3 linked regions of the Lytechinus pictus genome follow. The protein of the gene in region 1 purifies or fractionates together with the protein of each later gene. This does not show direct contact. Links are inferred from orthologs where the notes say so. Each region holds a gene or a part of one and is shown in the gene's direction. Other genes may lie near its edges.

Region 1 (7,105 bases):
GGGGGACGTTATTACCTTTTTTGGGGGCTAAATTTTTTTTTCGGTCCCCCTTTGATAACCTTTTTTTGTCAAAAATTTTGGTGCCCTCCCCTAAATTTTTTTGATTGCCGCCGCTAATAGTGCCCTCCCCCCTTTGGAAAATCCTGGACCCTCCCTTGCCTAGATATAGATGTTTAAAGAATTTATTATTTTGAAAGTCAGTGCCCCCGCCCCCCATGCTTTAGTTATCATGGCATAAAACTTATGTCATATCTAATCCTTATATCAGCAAGAGGTCAGAGCATACTATCCGTCACCAAACGACTGCATTTGAGCCATTTTTTTTCTCTTTTCTCTTCTTTCTATTTTTTGTTGTTATTTAATCATTGTTTATTTGGATAAGCTCGGATCCGAGACTAACTGGGACGGTGAACGCACTTTCGTTCGAGTTGTGTATTTGGGTAACAATAGGCCGAGGCGAGAAAGGACACGCCCACAATCCCTCGTTCAGTGCCGAGCTCTGTGCATACGTGTCGACGAAATTTCAAAATGAAATTTGTACACAAATCTGTCACAATTCGGACCCACTTTAGCCTCAGATTAACAGATATTTAGATCTCTTTGGAACACTAAAAGTCATTCACTTGGGTTTTTTAATATGCTGATTCAGGTGAGGTACTTTTCAATGCCTTTAAACATAGATTTAAAAAATTAGATTTTCGTTTTGGGATCCCTACTTAAGTCTTAACGTCTTGAGTAAGCATAAGACTCTTAATAAGACATTCATAGTCATAGATCTCTAAAACTAAAAGTACTTGCAGTTTTTTTAGGACCAAAACAAAAATATAATCATTGAATCAAATAAAAATCATGTTTATCTGTAGACGTAGTACAAATGTTGAACATTAATGTTATAAAAAAATTAGGGTAGGCCTAAACGGAATTTGTTTACTTAACAGAAGCTTGTGTTTTGCCAAAAATTGGACGCAGTTTCCAAATCTTAGAAGCGTAGAGTTGTGCGCCGCGATCAATATCGGCGATATAAATCGCACACTTGACTCCATAATAATTGCTTACATGTAATTGCTGATAAAACAATTTATTTTAGCTGCGCAAATGCCGATTTTAATTGTTATTACTATCAATAATTTGATATAGAAATCGGTAAAGGAAATTTACTTACCAATACAATCAGTAGAGGCGCACGGCCAATATGGGAGACTCTCCAATAGGGGAGACAATCTCCCACATTGGAGACTTGCTTTGCAAAAGGACAAAAGAAACAACACCAACAAAAGCATGATTTATTTCCACCCAAAATTTTGTCTCACTGAGGTCAGAAGCCCATTTGTTTTGTGTGTGATTGACAACAAAAATCCTTATCAAAACAAAAGTAGACGGTGAATATTTAAAGAATATTTAAAGTAGACGGTGAAAAGGGGTAATTTTTCATGAGGAATCTGCTTATCACATTTTTATTTGCCGCCAAGGTAATCCTTTTGCAGCAAATGTAAACAAAGGAAATTGGACTCCAAAACTGGAGACTGTCTCTGAAATTGGATACCCAAATTCTTTACAAAAGTCTCTGATATTGGAGATAATCTCCCACATTGGAGACAGTCTCCAATATTGGCCGTGCGCCTCTACTGACAATAGACCTCTTTCGGCTCTGAACACTGGACGTTTTCGCTTAGACAGCTGGAAGCCGTCTGATCGAGGAGTTTATTAACTTTTTTTTTTTTTTTCTTAGGGAAATCCATCTTTGTTTACATGTCTCTCTTATGCATATATGGGAGGGGATTCAAGACTCCAATGATGAAGAAGTATGTGTCACTTTAAAAAAAAAAGACATCATCATGGAGTCCTCAAGACAAGATTTTACCCCTGGATTTTTTTTGAGCAGCAACTTGGATCTACTGTACACTATATGTGCAGTTCAATAGCAGGTATGTTCATGTATCTCATGCATGCAAGTCCCCTGCCAGTGCATGGCCTGTAGTTATGGGGAGAGAGTTGAAGTCATTTTCGTCCGATATTTGGAACCGTCCATTTGGGGACTTTACTCTACCTGCTATTGAACTGCACACACAGTATATTGGGCCCCAAATTAAAATGCTTTACACCCAGCTGAGCTATTATTTTCAGATCATCGACTTTGTGGAATACCCGGTATGTCAACACTACAGGATTTTTTTTTTTTTTGGGGGGGGGGGCTTCTATGGTTAGCAGAAAAACTGGTATGAAAGATATCTCAATACACTGAACAGATTATTTTACAAAAAAAAGAGAAATATTCTGCATGTCATCACAGTCATATTAAAAGGAAAACTTCTTGATTTATGACCATGCCTAAATGGACTGACTGGCCTTTACCTGTAAACGAATCGGACAATCTCAGCCAGTGAAACCATTACTCTCAGCTAATCACATGACCAGTCACATGGCAGCAGTACTGTGTGTGCGCGTGCACACACAATATTGCACACACTTAACAAGCTAAACGTGCATGGCCGGGCGGCTAGCTATAGGATGCATATCGTCTCGATCCCTCGCACACAAGGCCATGAGTCATGAGTTCCGACTTCTGATCATACACATCAGTCAAAATCAACATGGGGAAAGAATGGAAATAAGGTAGGGATGCTTGGCCTTTGACCTGTCCCCTCGACCATTACACTAGTTGGATGGATTGCTTTTTAAAAACAGTTTCATGACTTTAACTGCGATGACAGATGACACCTCAAATCTTATCAAACCATGGGGGGGGGGGGGTTATTTACCGGGCTCGAGGTATGCAAAGTGGAACCCGACCCGTAATGTTCCGAGCCGGACAATGTCAACTCGTTTGGTAAACAATCCGAGCTACAGGACTAGAAATCAATTCTGACACTTGATCCCAAAGGAAAGGTAAAAAATGAGTATTTCCATTGGATTTGCCATTATCAATACTACAAAATCCTGCTAGTTTACAAAAATATGGTACATTTATTCACAAGATACAAGACTTTGAAACTCCTTTTTTAAGGCCACATCAAAATTATAGTAGTAACAAAATGTAAACTAAATAGGTTAATTGTAGCATTTTAGTCTCCTTAATTTGTTACCAAAACCAATAAATTTGGATAACGGGACCATATGTCAGAAATGCGTTGAACTTTGATTTTTCCCTCAAAACCATGACTATTTTGGGCTGTGTGAATGTGAAATTTGTGAAAAGGGCGAAATTTTTTGCTCTGTGTGCAGTCACCCTAATAATATCATATTTCGCCCTAGACAGGAATAACCATCGTTTCTGGGGATCTATTTAACAATTTCTGACATTTTACTATCATCCTCATTCGCCGACGGTTAGCCAGGAGGCTCCTGGAGATTAATGTAATATCACTGACGTGCTTAATCTCCACGGAGCCAGGGATGGGATGCCATTGCTCTACACAAATCAAGTATTTTGGCAACAATAAAGTTGCTCCAAAATACCGGTTTTCTTTAGGGTTTTGAACCCAAACTTATGTAAATGGGCTACAATACAAATTGGACCCTTTTATCACTAAAGGGTCATATTTCTAAGCAATATTAAACATTAAAAGATATATGGAAAATATTAAAAGTAGAGGAGCGTTTACTCACAGTCTGTTGTCGCCATCTGCCATCTGTGTTATTGTAGCCTAGCTACAAGACTTGTATAGAGGGTGACAATATCATGAGCAGTGTTAACTTAGATTAACAAATATCATGAATCTTACCATAAAAATACTTGCATCGGCTGATAAGATTCATGATATTCAAATTTGAATTGACAGCTTATTTCATTTTTTTCTCACCTGCGTCTCAGAGTGAGACTATAAGCGCCGTTTTTCCGACGGCGGCGTCAACATTGCGCAACACTGCCTTCCATTACAATAGAAAGATTTCAAGGTACATGAAAACATTGGTAAATTCCCCCCCCTCCCAAAAAAAAAAATAAAACACCCAAAATATTGTGGGTTAAAGTATGAGTTAGGGTGGTCCTTCAGAGAAGGTAATACAGTAGTTATCATTTCAGATAGATTTCATGTTTATCAGAAATTTTTGTCTAAATGCACTTTCCACAATCTTTTTTTTGTTCGACAGACAAGACCGTGATTGTTTGGGATTTGACACGTAATGACGTCAGCTATGGTGTACCCAAGAGGAGTTTGAAAGGGCATAATCACTTTGTATCCGATGTCGTCACGTCTTCTGATGGACAGTTTGCCTTGACCGGATCATGGGATAAGACACTCCGATTGTGGGATATTGGAACGTAAGTTTGAATGTAAAACCAGATATTTTTCAAACTGGGCGGATTCCAAGAACATTTGATAAGTAAACAATACTCTTTTATCAATTCCCAAGGATAATATGTGACCTACCACCCCAAAACCACCAATAAGTCGCCAGGTAAGGTTCTCTGTAAAAAGCCAAAATAGTAAATTGGTCTTCAAAACCAAAAATTATAAAAACAGCTTATCTGAAAGAGCAATTCTTCTTCATACCGTGAAAATTTGAAGTCATTAAGTTGAATAAAAGATACAAGAGTTTCTTGGACACTACTTTTACAGACTGCTTGGAAGTTTCCCTGAGATTATGCTCATTTGATTTTTCTCATTTTTCTGGGGTGGACTTGACCTTTGAATATATGCCGGTTGTGTGAACAATCTGAAAACGAGTTTGAACAAAAAATGTCTGTCCCATATGTGCTTATCTGTGTTGGTGATCCTCAGCATGGTAATTTTTCCACCTTTGATGTCATGATTTTAATGCTTAGATGTATGTAAATAAAACGGATCTAGATCTACCAAGATATGGTACAATACTTCAATTAATTTTGATAATGATATGAAAGACTTTCTCATGAGATAATTCTTTCCTGCAACTGTTGTAATACCTCACATTCTCACTGACATTTTCATTTAAGAATATTGCTTATGAAACTTGAGAGGGGGGGGGGGGAGAGAGACTGTAGCTGTTTGTCTGTGATCAACCAAAATCTTATGTACATTTGAAACCCCTTACAGTGGCAAGACCACCCGTACGTTTAATGGTCACACCAAGGATGTCCTGAGTGTTGCCTTCTCTGCTGACAATCGTCAGATTGTATCCGGTTCTAGGGATCGCACCATCAAGCTCTGGAATACCCTTGGAGTGTGCAAGTACACCATCCAGGTAAGTCCAGCTTTCAAATAATCTGGTGGGTGTGTCATAAACACTTACGAGAGTAAATAATCAGCATTTTAGCATGACAGAAAGTCCCACTGAACTCTTTGTGAAACATGCCCCAGTTTGTAGTTAGCTCATGTCACAAAAGACTTCTAATATCCATAGATATCCATGGAGAAATCATTTTATGCACTTACATTATCAGCACTCGCAAAGTAACCGAAGTACCTCATAAATGTAGAGTTTTTTTTAAATTACCATGGAATGTACTGGATGAACAAGGTTACTCCAATCATTACAACCATCTTTCAGCTACATGTACGAGCACTAGAGACAAGCAATTCTAGTCACCCACATTATACGATCAATGAGGCTGTATGTGTGCAATCTACTTTGCATCAATCAAATTTGCTTTGTCAGGCATCCTATAAGACCACGGTCAGATTGTGTATGCATATCTGCTTTTAGAGGCGTTAGTTGCTGGGAATGATAAACCCTAAAAGGCCCGGGGGGGCCTACATTTTTCACGGTAAATCTGCCGCGTGAAATTTTTAAACCGCCCTGCTCGCTGACTTTTTACTTTCATATCTCGCACAACTTTTGAGACCAAATTTGCGGTGCCCGGGTACGCAGTTACAAAATTACGCAACATTATGTAAGTGCATGTCAGACCAAAAACTGCTCAAAAACATGAATTTATGTACAAATCCAATGCAAATTGTGTATTTAGCCAAAATTCATAAATGTATCATTTCTTTGTTTACTGATTAATAGTTTGTCTTGTTTATGGTCAGAATTAAGTCTGCAACAATTTCCATTAAAAAAACACTAACAAAAAGTCAAAAAACAAAGAAATACATAAGAAATTTTAAAAACAATAAAATAAGAAAAAAATTGCGATACCAATTTTTTTTTAAACATACGATCGAGATCCTACAAAGAATCTGAATAAAAACTTAGCAGTTTTGAGGCCGTATGATAATTGATTAGAGCAAATGTTTTATTTCATGCATGAATGAGCATAATTAATTCATTAAATGAGAATTACAGCCTTGTAGATTTTATTGCACACTACCACTTAGCAAATTTTTGCGGTGCTCGCGCGTTCGAAGGCCCCCTGGCTGTGAGAGGGTCCAAATAACCTGGCTCTTTTAGGGTTAAATGACTCTTGATTGTGCCAATGGTGTGCTAGGCAATTTTATAGTAAAAACCGCTAGATACATGTAATTGTTGAATTTCCCCTAACATTGTACAGTAAGTTTTTAAAAAATGATGCTAATAAGAATGTATGATAGTTGAGCTCACTGTTTGATTTTGGTTTTACAGGACGACTGCCACTCCAATTGGGTATCATGCGTCAGGTTCTCACCGAATGCTTCGAACCCTATCATTGTCTCTGGAGGCTGGGACAGGGTCGTCAAGGTAAGACTAACCAATCTCACTCTTTACCTTATGATTAAGTCTTTTTAGAACTGTTTTTAGGAAGAATATCCTTTTCAGGGTCATTTTCTTTCAGGATCATGTGGCACATCATTGTTGGTAAAAACACCATGATGGTAAGATGATTGGATTCTGTTCCAACTCTAAGATATTACCATAACTAGAATTTATGTTTGAGGATGTGGAAGGATGAAAATGTCATTCTTTGAAAAAGTGTCACTGCTGACCATATTCAGTAGTGATTTTGAGTAAATTTGAACAACTGGAGGGAAAGTGATGGTTGTTCTATGTAGGCTGAATGAACCAAAAGAATTGGATCATGTGGGTGGTGCCCATTGAGGCGTTCCTAAAGCTACTGTTCCTGTGTAGTCTTGGGGCTGTAATGGGCATAGAGAGAATGGTGTCTGTCTGCATGCTACTACTTTATGTCCTGGGGTCCTCGGGAGTATCGTGTAGTAGTAGCGCGTGATACATTCACCTACATAATTCTCATAAAAAATTATCTATG
Region 2 (7,960 bases), on another chromosome or scaffold:
AGGATAAGTGCTGGCACGCTTCGCGTGCATTTACTGCCCCCTCCAAAATGAAATCCTGGCTACGCGGTTGTATTGCTATCTTGTTCACGATTGTAAAAATTTATTGAAATTTTCCATTCTTTACGTAGAAATGTCAAAATATATCTCGCTCGCATTATATAAATAAGGATTATGATATTATATATTCATGTTGATTAATAAGAATAGAGCTAAAAAGTGACTATTAGGATTACCCCTTCAAAGAAACCAAAAATCATCTTCGAGCGGCCGATCTGGGAAAATATTGCTGAAAAAAAATTCCGCCCCCCCCCCTATTGGCGAAGGCTGGATCCGCCCCTGCGCTAAATGGTAAATAAAATGTTGGTGATTTTTTTTTTACCCGATTGCTAAAAAAGCATAATGCTTGTAAAAAGTTGTAAGCATTGCAAGCAGTTCTTCGGGCAATTCTTTTAATGAAAATTTTCACCCAAAGTATCAGGCATGCAAAGTATGCAATTTTAAATGCAAGATCGCCCCAATTAAATGCAAGCTTAGTCGTTTCGCGCTATCATTTTTCAAATTTCTTATAAAATTTGTATGCATCGATCCTGCCGAGGCTCCTCCCGCAAAAAAATTCTGCAAACAGCCATGTGCAAATGAAATTTAGAAGAAAAAAAACAAAAAATAAAGATATACATGCAGAAAATGTTGAGAATCTCAAAATGAAAGACTCTATATATATCAAGCGCACAAATTCATTACAATTTATTCTGGTCTTTCAGGCTGCCCATAATCATGCAGCGTAGGCAGGCTAGCTACGTGAGCTTTACGTCTGTTAGTCTGCAGGCACAGACCCTTAAATGGTTTTCGTAATTCGCATAGTGCACAATGCAGAGAGTCTGAAGTAGTGAGACTAGATTCACTATGTACTGTGACTGGCTCTGACCATGGACCATAGCATGGACCTACTACACACAGTAGGTCCATAGTGACCATGGACCTATTTAATAGGTCCATGCTCTGACAAAGACACCGCGCTTCTTTTTCTGTCTTGTGGTGTGTTGGCAGCCAGTAAAAAATGACATTTTTTGCCACTGCTTTTGGGGCTGAATTTGGGGCCTTCTTTGAGAGGATGAAAAGCTTCTTTCCCTTCATCCATTTTTTTTCTATTTTATTTCCTTTCTTTCCTTCTCATTCTTTTTCCATTTTTTCTCCTTTTGTTTTCTTTTCTGTTGATCTTTCATTCTTTCTTTGTCTTTCTTTTCTTTTTCTTCCTTTTCTTCTCTGTATCATTTTTTTCTTTTCTTCTTGTTTTCCTCTTTTCCTTTAATTATAGTCTAGTCTTTACTCCCGGGGGGGGGGGGGCACTTCCATTCACGAGTGGATACCTTGCGCGACCATGGGGTCTCGAAAAGCACCCTAAACACATATTTTCCATATACTGAAAATGCACCCCTTAACAAGTATTGGCGTGTAAAACCCTACCCTTGAAGGACAAGTCCACCCCAACAAAAAGTTGATTTGAACAAATAGAGAAAAATCCAAGAAGCATAATACTGAAAATTTCATCAAAATCGGATGTAAAATAGGAAAGTTATGACATTTTCAAGTTTTGCTAAATTTCTAAAAACAGTTATATATGCACATACTGGTCGGTATGCAAATGAGGGGACTGATGACGTCACTCACTCACTATTTCTTTTGTATTCAATTAAATGATATATTAAATATTTTAATTTTCTCCTCATTGGAAGGTGAAACAAGATTTTGGTGGGTTGTGAGGAGTCCCGGGGGGGGGGGGGGGCACTTACATTGACGACTCATTTTGTATGTAGGCCTACTTGGCAAATCAAATACTAGTAATGCGAGCGCACAGCGCAAAAAGATGCTAATGATATTAACAACATAAAACTGACATTACAGAGCACTTTAAAAAAATCAATTTGTAAATCAAACCAAATAATGAAAGCTCGATATCCGAGCTGAAATATGTTGTGTATATTGACTTCAAAAATTGATATTTTAAGCTACATATCAGCCTATTGAGCAAGATGTGTATCTCATCAACAGGCTATGCGAGCGCGAAGCGCGAGCGAAAATTTAATATAGTGACATTTTCCAAGTCTTCCCTGACCTTATTTTTATTCATTCGTCTCCCTCTTATTTTTTCCTCTTTATCCTCCTTTCTTTCCCCTTCTTTTTCTTTTTTTTTCTTTCTTTCCCTCTTTTTTCATTTTTTTTGCTCCGCCAATAGGGGTGCCCGGGCCCCTCGCCCCCCTGGATCCGCCTTTGGGGGTGCACATCTTTGGGAGGTGGAACAAAGTTCGGAAAATCAGCTGATGAAAGCAGAAGGGGTACAAACTTCGTTTTGCCAATGTCGGAACTACTCTGCCTCACCAGAGTGCACCCCCAGCCTACGCCTTTGTATTACATGAAATGTCCAAAAGTTTGTGAGCTCGCGATTAGCGCTCTCAACATCTTTTAAGGATGCAGCGCCATGACCCAAAAAGTAAGTTTTACAACTTCAGATTTAAAAGTTGTGACAAACCACTCGGTCGCTACGCTCCCTCGTGGAAAAAATAAAGCCTAAATATATATCTCGCTGAAACAAATACATGTAATGAAAGCTCAAATCGCGAGGATAATAATTTGTGCGTATCGACTTCAGAAAACGGGATATATGTTGTAAAAATATATTTCGAACCCCAGCTTGAGCAAATTTTTATCTCACTGAAGACAGCGCGAGCGCGAAGCGCAAGCGAAACTCTCTGTTTTATACAATGACCCATGAAAGTTTGCTATCATTATCATTATTAATTTTATCAATAATGATAATAATAATAATTATTATTATTATCCAGTCATTCCACTTTCCTGGTTTCACTTACTTTCCTTCGTCCTCTTATCTTAATTCTGTTTTTGGTGAATTTCTTCCCCTTTTTCGCAATGTCCCGGGAGGTCGAGACATGCACGCCTTCTACGCCTACTTCGCCCCCCCCCCCTTGGATGAAGCCAGCTAAACGTCTTTTAAGGGACAATATTTATAATTGTGATTATGCCCCAATAGTATTTTCCCTGAATGTTTTCTGTTTTTCCATATATATATATATATTATATATATTGAGTAACTGGAAATCCTAACTGGAAACACGGGTCGTGTGGTCCAGTGGTTAGAGCATTGGAATCATAATCGCAAGATTGTGAGTTCGAATCCTAACTCTGCCATTGTCTCCACTTTGATAAAAAGGCCCAAGAGTGATATCTGTCGTCTATTACGTCAGCCACTATGACTGATTAACCTAGACGTAAAATGTTTCCAAGGTAATTGGTTATATACCAGCTTGGCGTTTACCAGCAAACAATGCTGTCCTGCCGAGTTCCTACGGGAGTTACCACAGACAGAAACAGAAACAGAAACCACGGGGGCGTTTCATCAATATTTTTGTCCGACAAGTTGTCAGATCTGACAACTTTCCTGGATTCTGATTGGTTGAGAAGCACTGTTACTATAGCAACTGTCGGATAAAACAGGACTTGTCGGATAAAACGTCCGACAAGTCCTTTCATGAAACGCTCCCCTGGTAACTGGAAATGACTTCTAACTGGAAAGTTGGGTACTACTGCTGACTTCTAATGGGAACCAGTTGGATAAACTGGGAATCCTAACTGGAACCAGTAGTAGGGTAACTGGAAATCCTAACTGGATCCAGTTGGGTAACTGGAAATGACTTCCAATTGGTTTCCAATTGGAAATTTTTCCAGTTACCCAACTGGATCCAATTGAAACCAGTTGATTTGCATATTATCTGCCAATGTGTACAGATTAATGTTCATCATCATTTACAATGGTTGGTTGGTGTTGGAGTTAAGTTGGCGCTCTTCAATCTATAGTAGATTATCTGCGCCACAATGTATCTATTCATTCTCAATTAGTGCCTCATTTGTTTAAGATAAATGTTTAGAATAGTTAGCAGTGAAAACCATGTTTAAAATTATTATAGATTAGGATTTTAACAGATTAAAAGATAATTAGTACACCACTAACTGTTACCAAATTACATCAAATACAAATACATATATTCGAAGCTCCTCCATATAAATACATGTATATATGTACGAGAGTCTAATGACCTTTACATTGGTATTAATAGACATATAACAATGCTTCTGTGTTGGCATAAGCAATAGTTAGTACAAATGCTAATTAATTTGTAATTAATTAAGTTCATTCCAACTGAAAGTTCCAACTGGTTCCTGTTGAAACCAATTGGTTTCAACTGGAACCAGTTGCCTCCAATTGGTTTCTACTGGATTGAAACCAGTTGCCTCCAATTGGATTCAGCTGGTTTTGATAGGAAAATTGGAACAACTTGAACCAACTGAGAGGCAGTTGCCTAGTTGGATTCAACTGGAACCAATTGAAACGAATTGCCAACTGCATGGTTCCAGTTGCCCAATTGATTTTAACTGGAACCAATTGGCAACTGGTTTCAAATTGGTTTTGCTCTAATGCATGGTTTCAACTGGATTTTGGTCCTGGGAGATATATATATATATATATATGCATCTATATATATATATATATATATATATATATACATTTTATATATATATATATTATATATATATATAATTGTTCTCTTCATCCATTTCTTTCACAAAATATTTAAACAACTTAGTTGCCAAAGCTGTTGTACATGTATAACTTCACACATTTATATTATATATATATATATATTTCGACACAAACCTCACGTCTTTGTCAGGGATACAAAGCTCACAGTGACAAGATACTGATATTTCAATATCTTGTCACTGTAGGCCTATATTTCACATATAAATTCACTTTTACTTTGGATATGGGGATATTGGACAGCATTGCTCATGCAGTGACAGGTGCACCACCTCATCCCCGGCCGCCAGGGCCGCCAGTGAGGGCCAGTAACTGCATACATCCAAATTTGAGAAAGAAGATTATTTTTTTAATTTTCAATGCATGAAAAAAGGTCTGCCATATTCGATCAAATTGAGCCCTATCAATTTTTGTTAAATTTTGTAGCCATACTATATGAGTTACAGTATTCTGTATTCCACGTTCAAGGCATATCACAATAAAGATGAATATATACGGGCGCGCCGTGACGGTCAGCTAGCTAGTCAGCTGATCATACCCGAGCACTGCTGCTATGCATGCTGCGCTAGCGCTGCTATATTCTCGATCGCTAGCTAGACTAGGCGCGCGCGCTAGTTACAATCGTGTTGTTGGCATAATGGCGGAGGATGAGGGAGATACTTGACAAGGTTTGTGCAATTTTAGGTGAGTTAAAAACCCATCATATTTTCCCTGATATTTTTCCTAACATAAATACAACTGAAGATGTGGAAAGGGGCTATGCCTGTAGAATATTGGGTTTTTAATGCTAAGTTTGAAAATGTTTTATTGTCGAGGTCTTTTTTGTTTCGTAATGTTTCATTGATTGCGACGCACAGCACAATTTCCACAAACAGCAAGTTTACTGTCATGACTGTCTACTAGTCGGTGAGCTACACTATTCATCAATAACATGAAACCCCGGACATGAAACATGCTGAACTTGGTCAGAGTGACAGAGAGAAGTGTGCATGAAATTAAAATGAATGGTCGCTGCTCGCCATTGTTATCTTGGTTTTTACTTTTAACTGTTTAAGGTGCGTACCATTTTGATTAACCCAGGGAGCTCCCGCCCGCGCAGTGGGCGGGAGCCCAGGGGCTTTCCGCGTATTTGACCATACTCACGGGACAAGGGTGATTTATGGTCTAAATATTTCTCCAAATGAATTGTGAAAACAGAAATTATGCACTTACCACGATTATATGGATGAACAGTAGAGGCGCACGGCCAATATGGGAGACTCTCTCCAATAGGGGAGACAATCTCCCACATTGGAGACTTGCTTAATTTGCAAAAGGACAAAAGAAACAACACCAACAAAAGCATGATTTTTTCCACCCAAAATTTTGTCTCACTGAGGTCAGAAGCCCATTCGTTTTGTGTGTGATTGACAACAAAAATCCTTATCAAAACAAAAGTAGATGGTGAATTTTTAAAGTAGACGGTGAAAAGGGGTAATTTTTCATGAGGAATCTGCTTATCACATTTTTATTTGCCGCCAAGGTAATCCTTTTGCAGCAAATGTAAACAAAGGAAATTGGTATCCAAAACTGGAGACTGTCTCTGAAATTGGATACCCAAATTCTTTACAAAAGTCTCTGATATTGGAGATAATCTCCCACATTGGAGACAGTCTCTAATATTGACCGTGCGCCTCTACTGATGAAGGTCTAACGAGTGGCAGTTTCCTGACATCTGGGCACAGACTGGAACCTCAAAAAACGAAAAGTTCTCTCCTACCCCCGTCTCGATCGGCCATTTTTGTTATGAATCGTAACAAAATGGCCGATCGAGACTGGTAGAAGGAGAGAACTTTTCGTTTATAAATATTTAGACCATAAATCACCCTTGTCCCGTGAGTATGGTCAAATACACGGTAAGCCCCTGGGCTCCCGCCCGTGCTCCCTGGGTTACATTTTGATATGAATATTAACTCCTTTTTGGGGGGGCATGAGATGTATACCCAGTTGTTGTGTGTCCGGAGGATCAATTTTAGAAAGTCGTTTGGAAAAATTACAAGCGAAGTTTCAGCAATTTTTAGTACAAAATGTTAGGAAATATTCTAAAGAACAAAATAGAAGATGACTACAAAGATTGAATTCATATTCTTAGTGTAAACCAAAGACCAAAAAGAAGGCTTCAAAAATATAAAGTGTCTGGACACCCGACCCCCCATCCTATGTAGCTGGCATAGAGACTATACCTTTATCGCAAATAGATTCACGCAAAGGATCATGGGATCAAAAAGGGAGCGATAGCGCCGCTATTGTCCGGATGCGACCATGCGAATGCAAGCAGCCAACAATAACGTGTACGATTTCCATAGTGTTTCAAAATATGATGGACGCCCGCAGCCAACATTTTGCTAACTTCCAGTAATATTTCATATTTGTTCCAGAGTCTAAGTCTAACAATCACTTTTCTTCTTAATTACGGGTGGCAGAGATAGATGTGCTGTCTATAGCTGCAAGAATTAACCACAAATTTATGAAGACAAGTGCAATTTTGTGTCATTTTCGCGCACTGTGCGTATTCTGAGCTGTGCAGCTGTGATTGTGCAAAGTGCGCTTGTAACGTTATGCAGGACTGCGGGCACTCTCGGCCCAGGGACAGTGGGGAGGTGGAGGAAAGTCCCGGAATTCCAAGGAAAATAATAAATTGATGATCATTAAAACAAACTCTGCAGTAGATTTGATTACTTTATTCTAGTCATTTTAGTAATATATCAATCGATTGTCAAGAATACATGTTTCATGAATAATTATCTCAATCATGATTTTATTCAGATATTAACCTAGCTGTGTTTTCTTTTTTCTCTCCATTACATGTAATTCAGGATTATGGTGGGACATTCTGAAGTTCTATTAGTGGCCACTCATTCAATGAACAAGGTTATGATATAACCTTGTTCTCAGTTATATCTCCATGTGTGGCAAAATAAGGATGGCAATGTTTGGCTTATTTTCTCTTTTTCCTTGGGACAAATGCTTGATTTTTTTACACTGACAGTTTCCATTACACCTATTCGTCATAGAACTTGGCCCTTAAGTAAATTTGATTCTTTTAATTATTTTTTTCTTAATTAAAAATAGAGATAAAAAAATGAAAATTTTCTTGCCATATTATTTTCCACAAAAATATGCCCAAAAATTCAAGGTTTTGAGCGCTCTAGTGAATACAAAATTCATTCTCAAGTTACTAATTAAAAATAAATAGCAACTGTATGGAAATTAGTAATTTTGGTCACAAAAGTGATATTTTAATCATTTTTTAAAGTGTGTGCTCTGTACAGCATTGGCATGCCATAGTCCAACCTGTAGATTCCCCAC
Region 3 (6,978 bases), on another chromosome or scaffold:
ATCGAAACTTCAATCAAACTATGTAAAATAAATAATAATACTTGGTAGAGAAGAGAAAAGAACGTGGTCAGTATTCAGGCTAAATCAACCGTATAACATATTATTTGCATCTCTTTAACTCTCAAGTGAAAGATATTCTTTCAATTTCCTCTTAAAATGCAAAAAGTTTCCTATAATCATTGGGAAGACATGACAAAAAATTCCGAGCAGTTTTTGTAATCATGAAAAGGATGTGTATCTAAGTAACGAATGAACATATGAATAACATATCAAGAAAAAAAATCAAAACATATTGAGTATAAAAACGCTGTATGAGATTTTTATACAGTATACGCCGCGGTTAACTATAATTATGAACCTACATTGTTGGTTGTTTATGATTTTTAAACAAGTTATTAAAATCTTAAACGTACTATTTATATTTAATCTTCAATAAATTAATACTGTTTCCAGAGGGGCTTACCAATACAAGCTATGCTTTTTAATAAGTCCCTCATTTTTATTTTCATTTTCATACGACCTGTAATTTTCAATTATTTCATTATCAAAGTGTGTTTGAAACTACCGTCGACTTATCGATCAAATTTGTATAATATCATTTGTAACTGAAGTATCTATTATGACGTTTATTCTGTTTTGAATATTATGAATGTATGTGTTTGTTGTTATGTTTATTATCTAAAAATGAAAAATAAATAAATTACTGAAAAACTACACGGTTGTTTAAACTGTTAAACAACTATAGGCATATATTGTAAGATTCATAAAATAAACAGCGTTTTATATAATCTTATACAGCGTTTTTACGTATAGCTTAAAGTATGAAATATTATACAATGCATTTCTTTAAGTTCATATAACAGATTTTGGCAACCGAGGGCTATTATACAATTACAGAATAATTAAAATCATTACTAAATCAAGTACTATTCAAATGTATAAGAACTCTCACAATACATGTGATACATTGATAATTTCAAATAGGCCTATATCTGTGATGCAATGATTCAATTCAATTCAATGTGGAGCGTTGTGGCCCAGTGGATTAGTCTTCGGACTTTGAAACAGAGGGTCGTGGGTTCGAATCCCAGCCATGGCGTAATTTCCTTCGGCAAGAAACTGATCCACAATGTGCTGCACTCAACCCAGGTGAGGTAAATGGGTACCGGTAGGAAGTAATTCCTTAAAAAGCTGTGTGCGCTATGAACGCCTAGCTTAGCCGGGTAATATAGGAGCGCCTTGAGCACCTAACAAGGTGGATATGTGCGCAATATAAATACCCTATATTATTAATTCACATACGCTGTCTCAATAATGTTTATCTCGTCATGAAATGTAATTGGTGGATGATAGAGATAAACAAACTGCGTTATACTGGTCCTATTTTGTAGATTTTATTAGATTCAACCTCGTACAACTTCACCACAATAATTCTTCTAAAGAATATAATGATCATCTTTTGACTTTCTATTTATTACCCCCCCCCCCTCTTGTTTGTGTGTATATTTCATTTAAAATTTGATGTTTTTGCTATTAGTGGTTGTTTCCTTTTCCGTGACATTGAAGTACGTTATTGTATACAAGTCAAACATTGGCGTTTTGCAGTTAAATGTTCTTATGCTTTAGTAAAGTATTTTTTTCCTTCTTTCTTGTGTTAATTAAAGGGGTTTTTTCCTGATGCCGTTTTTTCTCCCTTAAACCTCAAAGTTTGTAAATATCTATATTGATTTGTGGTTGTTTTTTTAAATTGATTTGGAAATGAAATCTTCCATGAAAGACTGACGGAAAAATATGAAGTATAGACTGAACTCATTGATCATTATCATACATAACTGGGGTAATGGGAAATAATCTATGTCTGACGATGTGTTGGCCGTGTGCTTTTCGATAAAAAGACATTTTCAAAGAGTATTCGATCTTCGATCGTATATTGCCTAATCTTCTTCTTCTTCTTCTTCTTCTTCATCTTCTTCTTCTTTTGTCTCCACAAAAATCTTGAAAAAAAAAGTTTTTCACTCCCATATGAAGGAATTTCAAGTACTCAAAGAACAAATTTTAGGAGTTGGAAATGGAATAAACCAAATGATATGAAATAATGATTCGGCACTGAAAAAGCCACCCCCCCAAAAAAAAACAATAATAATAAAAGATAAATAAAATAAAATAAAAAATATAAAAATAATAATGATAATAATATTCACATTATAGTACACAAAAAGAATAATAAATGTAGGATATTTTTGTACAAGTCCGGCTTGCCTAGGAAAGGCAAAAGTGAAATAAATAATAGCTATAACCGCCGCATCAACTATGTTTCATAAACCTCTCTTTAGAATGTCGGATAATATTTTCCTCTGATTGGTCATAGTGTATTTGACCATAAATGCCTACAAATTAAACATCAGACTAAGGTGACCAATTAGGGCAACGAACATATCAAGATATTTACCGGTTGCCCCGTGGATCCATGATGCTATTCAACATTTCAACATATGGTAATTGCTTGGTTCGTTTGTCCTTTACCGAGGGCGGACACAAATCTTATTATTGCTTTATTCATTTACAGAAAAAAAACCCGTTGTTTATAATTTTATGCAATGCTGTTTACTACATGCACTTTACACTTATATGCAGATGTTTAACATTTTAAACAACGAAGCAGGGGCGGCGGAACCGAGGGGGCAGGGGCAATTGCTCCCCTTAAAGGTCAAGTCCACCCCGGAAAAATGTTGATTTGAATAAATAGAGAAAAATCAAACTAGCATAACACTGAAAATTTCATCAAAATCGGATGTAAAATAAGAAAGTTATGACATTTTAAAGTTTCGCTTATTTTTCACAAAACAGTAATATGTACAACTCAGTATCATGCGAATGAGTCAGAAGATGATGTCCACCACTCACTATTTCTTTTGTTTTTTATTGTTTGAATTATACAATATTTCATTTTTTACAGATTTGACAATATAAGGACCAAGTTGACTAAATCATATAGTATTAAACAATGCTAATTCCACATGTTCAGGGAGGAATCAATCGTTGTTTCCCTTGACAATGAGGAGAAAATTAGAATATTTCATATTTCATATAATAAAATACAAAAGAAATAGTGAGTGGATGACATCACCAGTCTCCTCATTTGCATACCGACCGGGATGTGCATATAACTGTTTTGCAAAATTAAGCGAAACTTTAAAATGTCATAACTTTCTTATTTTACATCCGATTTTGATGAAATTTTCAGTGTTATTCTTGTTGGATTTTTCTCTTTTTATTCAAATCAACTTTTTGTCGGGGTGGACTTGTCCTTTAAAAAAAAAAATCCCCGTAGAAAAAATACCCTTTTTTTTCAAAATGAAATGTGCCCTTTTTCAAAATGAAATACCCTTTTGGAAGTAAAACATAATACATTTTAGATTCATTCCAACATTGTTAAATGCATTGACTTAAATTGTTTTATCATTTATTTTCAACACACACATTTTATTATTCTGAGAATTATTCTTTTGAAATAGACTAGAATTTGTGATATAATTGCTGCAAATAGCTGCATATATGGCCTATACAGTACTAATATATCAATATGTTTTGAATTTTCTCGATCATCAAGATTTACTCCGAGAAATCAGATATCATAAGTTAAAAACATATTGATTTCTCAATAAGCTATGTTTTCTTAATAACTTTGAACTTGACATAGATCTCGCAGAATCCGCGCTGATTATCTAGTATATTTAATCACAAATTGGTTCGGTATGACAGGTGCATTTCGTCATTTCCTAAGACACGATCTCATTGGATAAAATTTAGCAATGTGTCAACTATTGGCCAATGAACCATCTTGATACACGAAATTGGCAGAAAGGTCATTTCCTTCCCACTTCCGCTAGCTACGTAGGCAGTTGCTTTCCTTGTACGTGCACAGGATTTGACGTCTTGTTTCATTCGGGGAAAGAAACTTTTTATATTTTCAGTGAAAACTGAAAATAACAGAAAGTGGCGGAAACAAAACGAAGAAGTAAACACTAGGACGGATAACCCGGCAAACAGTGACCACTTCAGTGTAAGCTATCACGTATTTTTCTGTGTTTTTATCCTCCAGATTTTGTCATATTTACGTGTTGTCGCGAGTCAAATCGGCCGGGTGCCTTGCGCATCCTCAGACTCAGTCACGGTCGGCGGCTCCGCGCCAGCACATCGACTGTTCAGAAAACGACTTGTATTTGTAAAGCCGAGTTGACACGTTGACACATTTTCATGCATGCCTTTAATTAGTCAATCAGTTAAGGAACATTGTCGTTTGTCAGATATTTTCTCCAAACTTCTTTCATTAATAGTAAATTAAGAGTTTTTTTTTTATTAAAGGAGCGAATAATATTAAATAGATCCTTAAGTTTAACTTAAGTGACTGAGACTGAGTCGTGCAAGAGTGAAAAGTTGAGTCAAGAGTGAGCATGGTGAGTGAGTCATGAATTGATTAATAAAGTGTAGGCCTATGCCAAAGTGAGCGAGAAGTCACGAAAAGATAAAGGAAGGGTAGTGTGTGTAAAATTTAGAGAAAAGTACTAATAGTAGTAATATAGGCAAATTGCACCTGAAAAAACTAATGGTGGGCCACAGAACTCGGATTGAAGCTTGAAATGTTTCATCAAATGATTGCCAGAGGCAGAGCCATGCTGGGCCAATGGCATGCTACATAATGTCAAGTCTGACCTTGCACAATTTTTTTTAATTGTTTGCTTAAAACATAATTCAAGTAATAGCTACCGAATTTGAATTAACGGTAAGAACGTAGGCAAAATTGTGAAGTATATTCGAGGGCCGGGGTTTCGCTGGTATCTCGATCTAAAAATGCTACTGTCATACAATGATGGCACACCGCAACAGAATATTAAAGTTGAACGGAAAGCCAAAACCAAGGCTCCACATTATTTTTTTTTGGTGGTGGCCCGTTTCGGCCACCACCATATAAACCTATAAAGTTTGTTGCCCCGAAAAATATAAAGAAAGACATTAAAATTTAAAAATGAATAAAACTTCTAAAATATTAATTCTGCAGCCACGACACCTAAGTTAAATGTACTTTCACTTTGTGTAACTTGTTACCCTTGTATGTAAACCTGATTTGTGGTAAAATATAATTTTATCATTGTAAATAAATGAAAAGATGTGTGTCAAACGATTCTTGTAGAAAATCTTTAATTCCTGAGAAATTGACAAAAACAAGCTTGGTATTCCACTCAGATGAAGAGTCTTTGTCCAATCAATAATAATACACTGCTATTGTGGAGGGGCCCTTAAACAAACAGTCACACACTCATATATAAGCTATTGATAAATGGTCCTACCTTATCACTCTGTCTCTCAGGCACACTCACTCGTAAAGCGAAGTCCGTACCGTCCGGGGGTTGAGTCTAGAATGGCTTCTTGGATTGTGTGTTGTGTGTAGTGCAGTGGTACTGAGTGCAGATCTATATTGTGTCCGTATTCCGGCCGGTGGGTCAGGTGACTCGCGTATGGAGTGGTGTCGTCTGCTATTTATGTCGTCTGCTATTTATATCGTCTGCTCAAACTACTATACTGATACCCCCGACCACCTTACTGCCACACATCCATATACATATCTGCCTATCGGTGTTGATCTTCGTTGTGGTCCTTTTTTTCAGATTAGATTGCATGATTGCACAGTAAGGTCTTCGTAATTAAAGCAGACATAGATCTACCATTATGGTGGCCACTTTTGATATTTGATTGATAAAAATGATAGCATTTATTCCATTCATCCTAAAAAACAACAAAACAAGGTACATACAAAGTTAACATTCATTACGTGGGAAAATCGTAAACATAATGCAATGATAAAATCTGGAAAATGTTTGAAAAAAAGAGTATTCATAATTTATAAATGAATGAGGAGGCAACTAGAAAGGCAAAGCCTTGTTAGTGCTGCCACCTTTACAAAAACTGAATAGGTGATATTGTGAAATGTATGATGTAATAAAAACTGAGTACCACATAATCATTGAGCATGAAAAGGGGAAATACACATTTTAACACGAATGACAAAAAAATATAATCAACATTAATTACATGTACTATAAAACCGAAAGGGTGAAAAAAAAGATTAAAAAAAAAAAAAATCTTGAAATCATTGTTCTCTGCAAAGTTCTACAATATAGACCCTTCAGGCCCCCTGTGGACTTTTACGATGAATGCTTATACAATGCTAGAAGATACACATTCATTGTTTGTTTCCAACTTTTTTTTTCTTTCTTCAACTATAGTGGTGCTGTCTGACTTTGATCACGACCCTAGACCATGAGTACGGATCCTCAATATTTGCCTGGCGGCAGTGCCCCGGCTCCAGCCGTTGACCCCAATGGCTTCAACATCGAAGAAGAAGCCTACGAACCTCCCACCTACGATGAAGCTTTTCCCCCCATGGAGAGCGCCGCCATGGGCGGCGGGCCAAAGGGAGGCCCAAGTGGACGCGGGCCGTCCTATGCCAGAATGGCAGTCAAGTCTTCCATAGTTACTCAGGTAATACATTTGAACACTTGCCTGTACCCTTTTACTTATTAAAAGTGACAATTTTCTAACTGGTGATAGGCAGGACACATGTAGCCTACTCCATGACATGTTATCTACATGTACTACAGATTTGTGCACTTTGACTATGGCTGTCTCAGTGTTGGGGAAAGATATTTCTGATATGAAATGAAATGATCCTGATATCCTTTATGTGTCATGTACATCTGGAGACCGCTTTCTGCCATTGAGAAAACCGTGTACGGTGTGTTTGAAACAGAAATCGTAATTTTTAACATTCACCAGTCTCAAGTATTGTTGATTGTTTCATATTTTGAGTAGTTCTGTTTTCATGTATCTGTAAGAAATTGTTTTGTTTGATCCTTATGTGGGCCAAAAAGTTTTTAAGAATCAAAGATTCAAAGCCCCAACTGAGCCACAGTACATGGT

What was found. Proteins that work in one complex are often made in the same cells at the same time.
Region 2: the proteins of small ribosomal subunit protein RACK1-like (region 1) and probable helicase with zinc finger domain purify together in Homo sapiens (affinity purification with mass spectrometry; 3 studies listed by BioGRID and IntAct, counting the BioPlex papers as one, with this or other methods). This does not show direct contact. The link is inferred for Lytechinus pictus from reciprocal best matches to the Homo sapiens genes RACK1 and HELZ.
Region 3: the proteins of small ribosomal subunit protein RACK1-like (region 1) and vigilin-like purify together in Homo sapiens (affinity purification with mass spectrometry; 3 studies listed by BioGRID and IntAct, with this or other methods). This does not show direct contact. The link is inferred for Lytechinus pictus from reciprocal best matches to the Homo sapiens genes RACK1 and HDLBP.

The regions. Positions count from the first base shown.
Region 1 is NC_087262.1:2,288,668-2,295,772, reverse strand, and holds the start of small ribosomal subunit protein RACK1-like, read left to right. Parts: upstream 1-4,046; 5' UTR 4,047-4,055; coding exon 4,056-4,261; intron 4,262-5,015; coding exon 5,016-5,163; intron 5,164-6,483; coding exon 6,484-6,579; intron 6,580-6,924; exon of another isoform or gene 6,925-7,020; intron 7,021-7,105. UniProt on the Homo sapiens protein: Scaffolding protein involved in the recruitment, assembly and/or regulation of a variety of signaling molecules. Interacts with a wide variety of proteins and plays a role in many cellular processes.
Region 2 is NC_087254.1:29,654,561-29,662,520, reverse strand, and holds the start of probable helicase with zinc finger domain, read left to right. Parts: upstream 1-4,859; 5' UTR 4,860-5,296; intron 5,297-7,960. UniProt on the Homo sapiens protein: May act as a helicase that plays a role in RNA metabolism in multiple tissues and organs within the developing embryo.
Region 3 is NC_087258.1:23,558,888-23,565,865, forward strand, and holds the start of vigilin-like, read left to right. Parts: upstream 1-3,877; 5' UTR 3,878-4,063; intron 4,064-6,284; 5' UTR 6,285-6,318; coding exon 6,319-6,540; intron 6,541-6,978. UniProt on the Homo sapiens protein: Appears to play a role in cell sterol metabolism. It may function to protect cells from over-accumulation of cholesterol.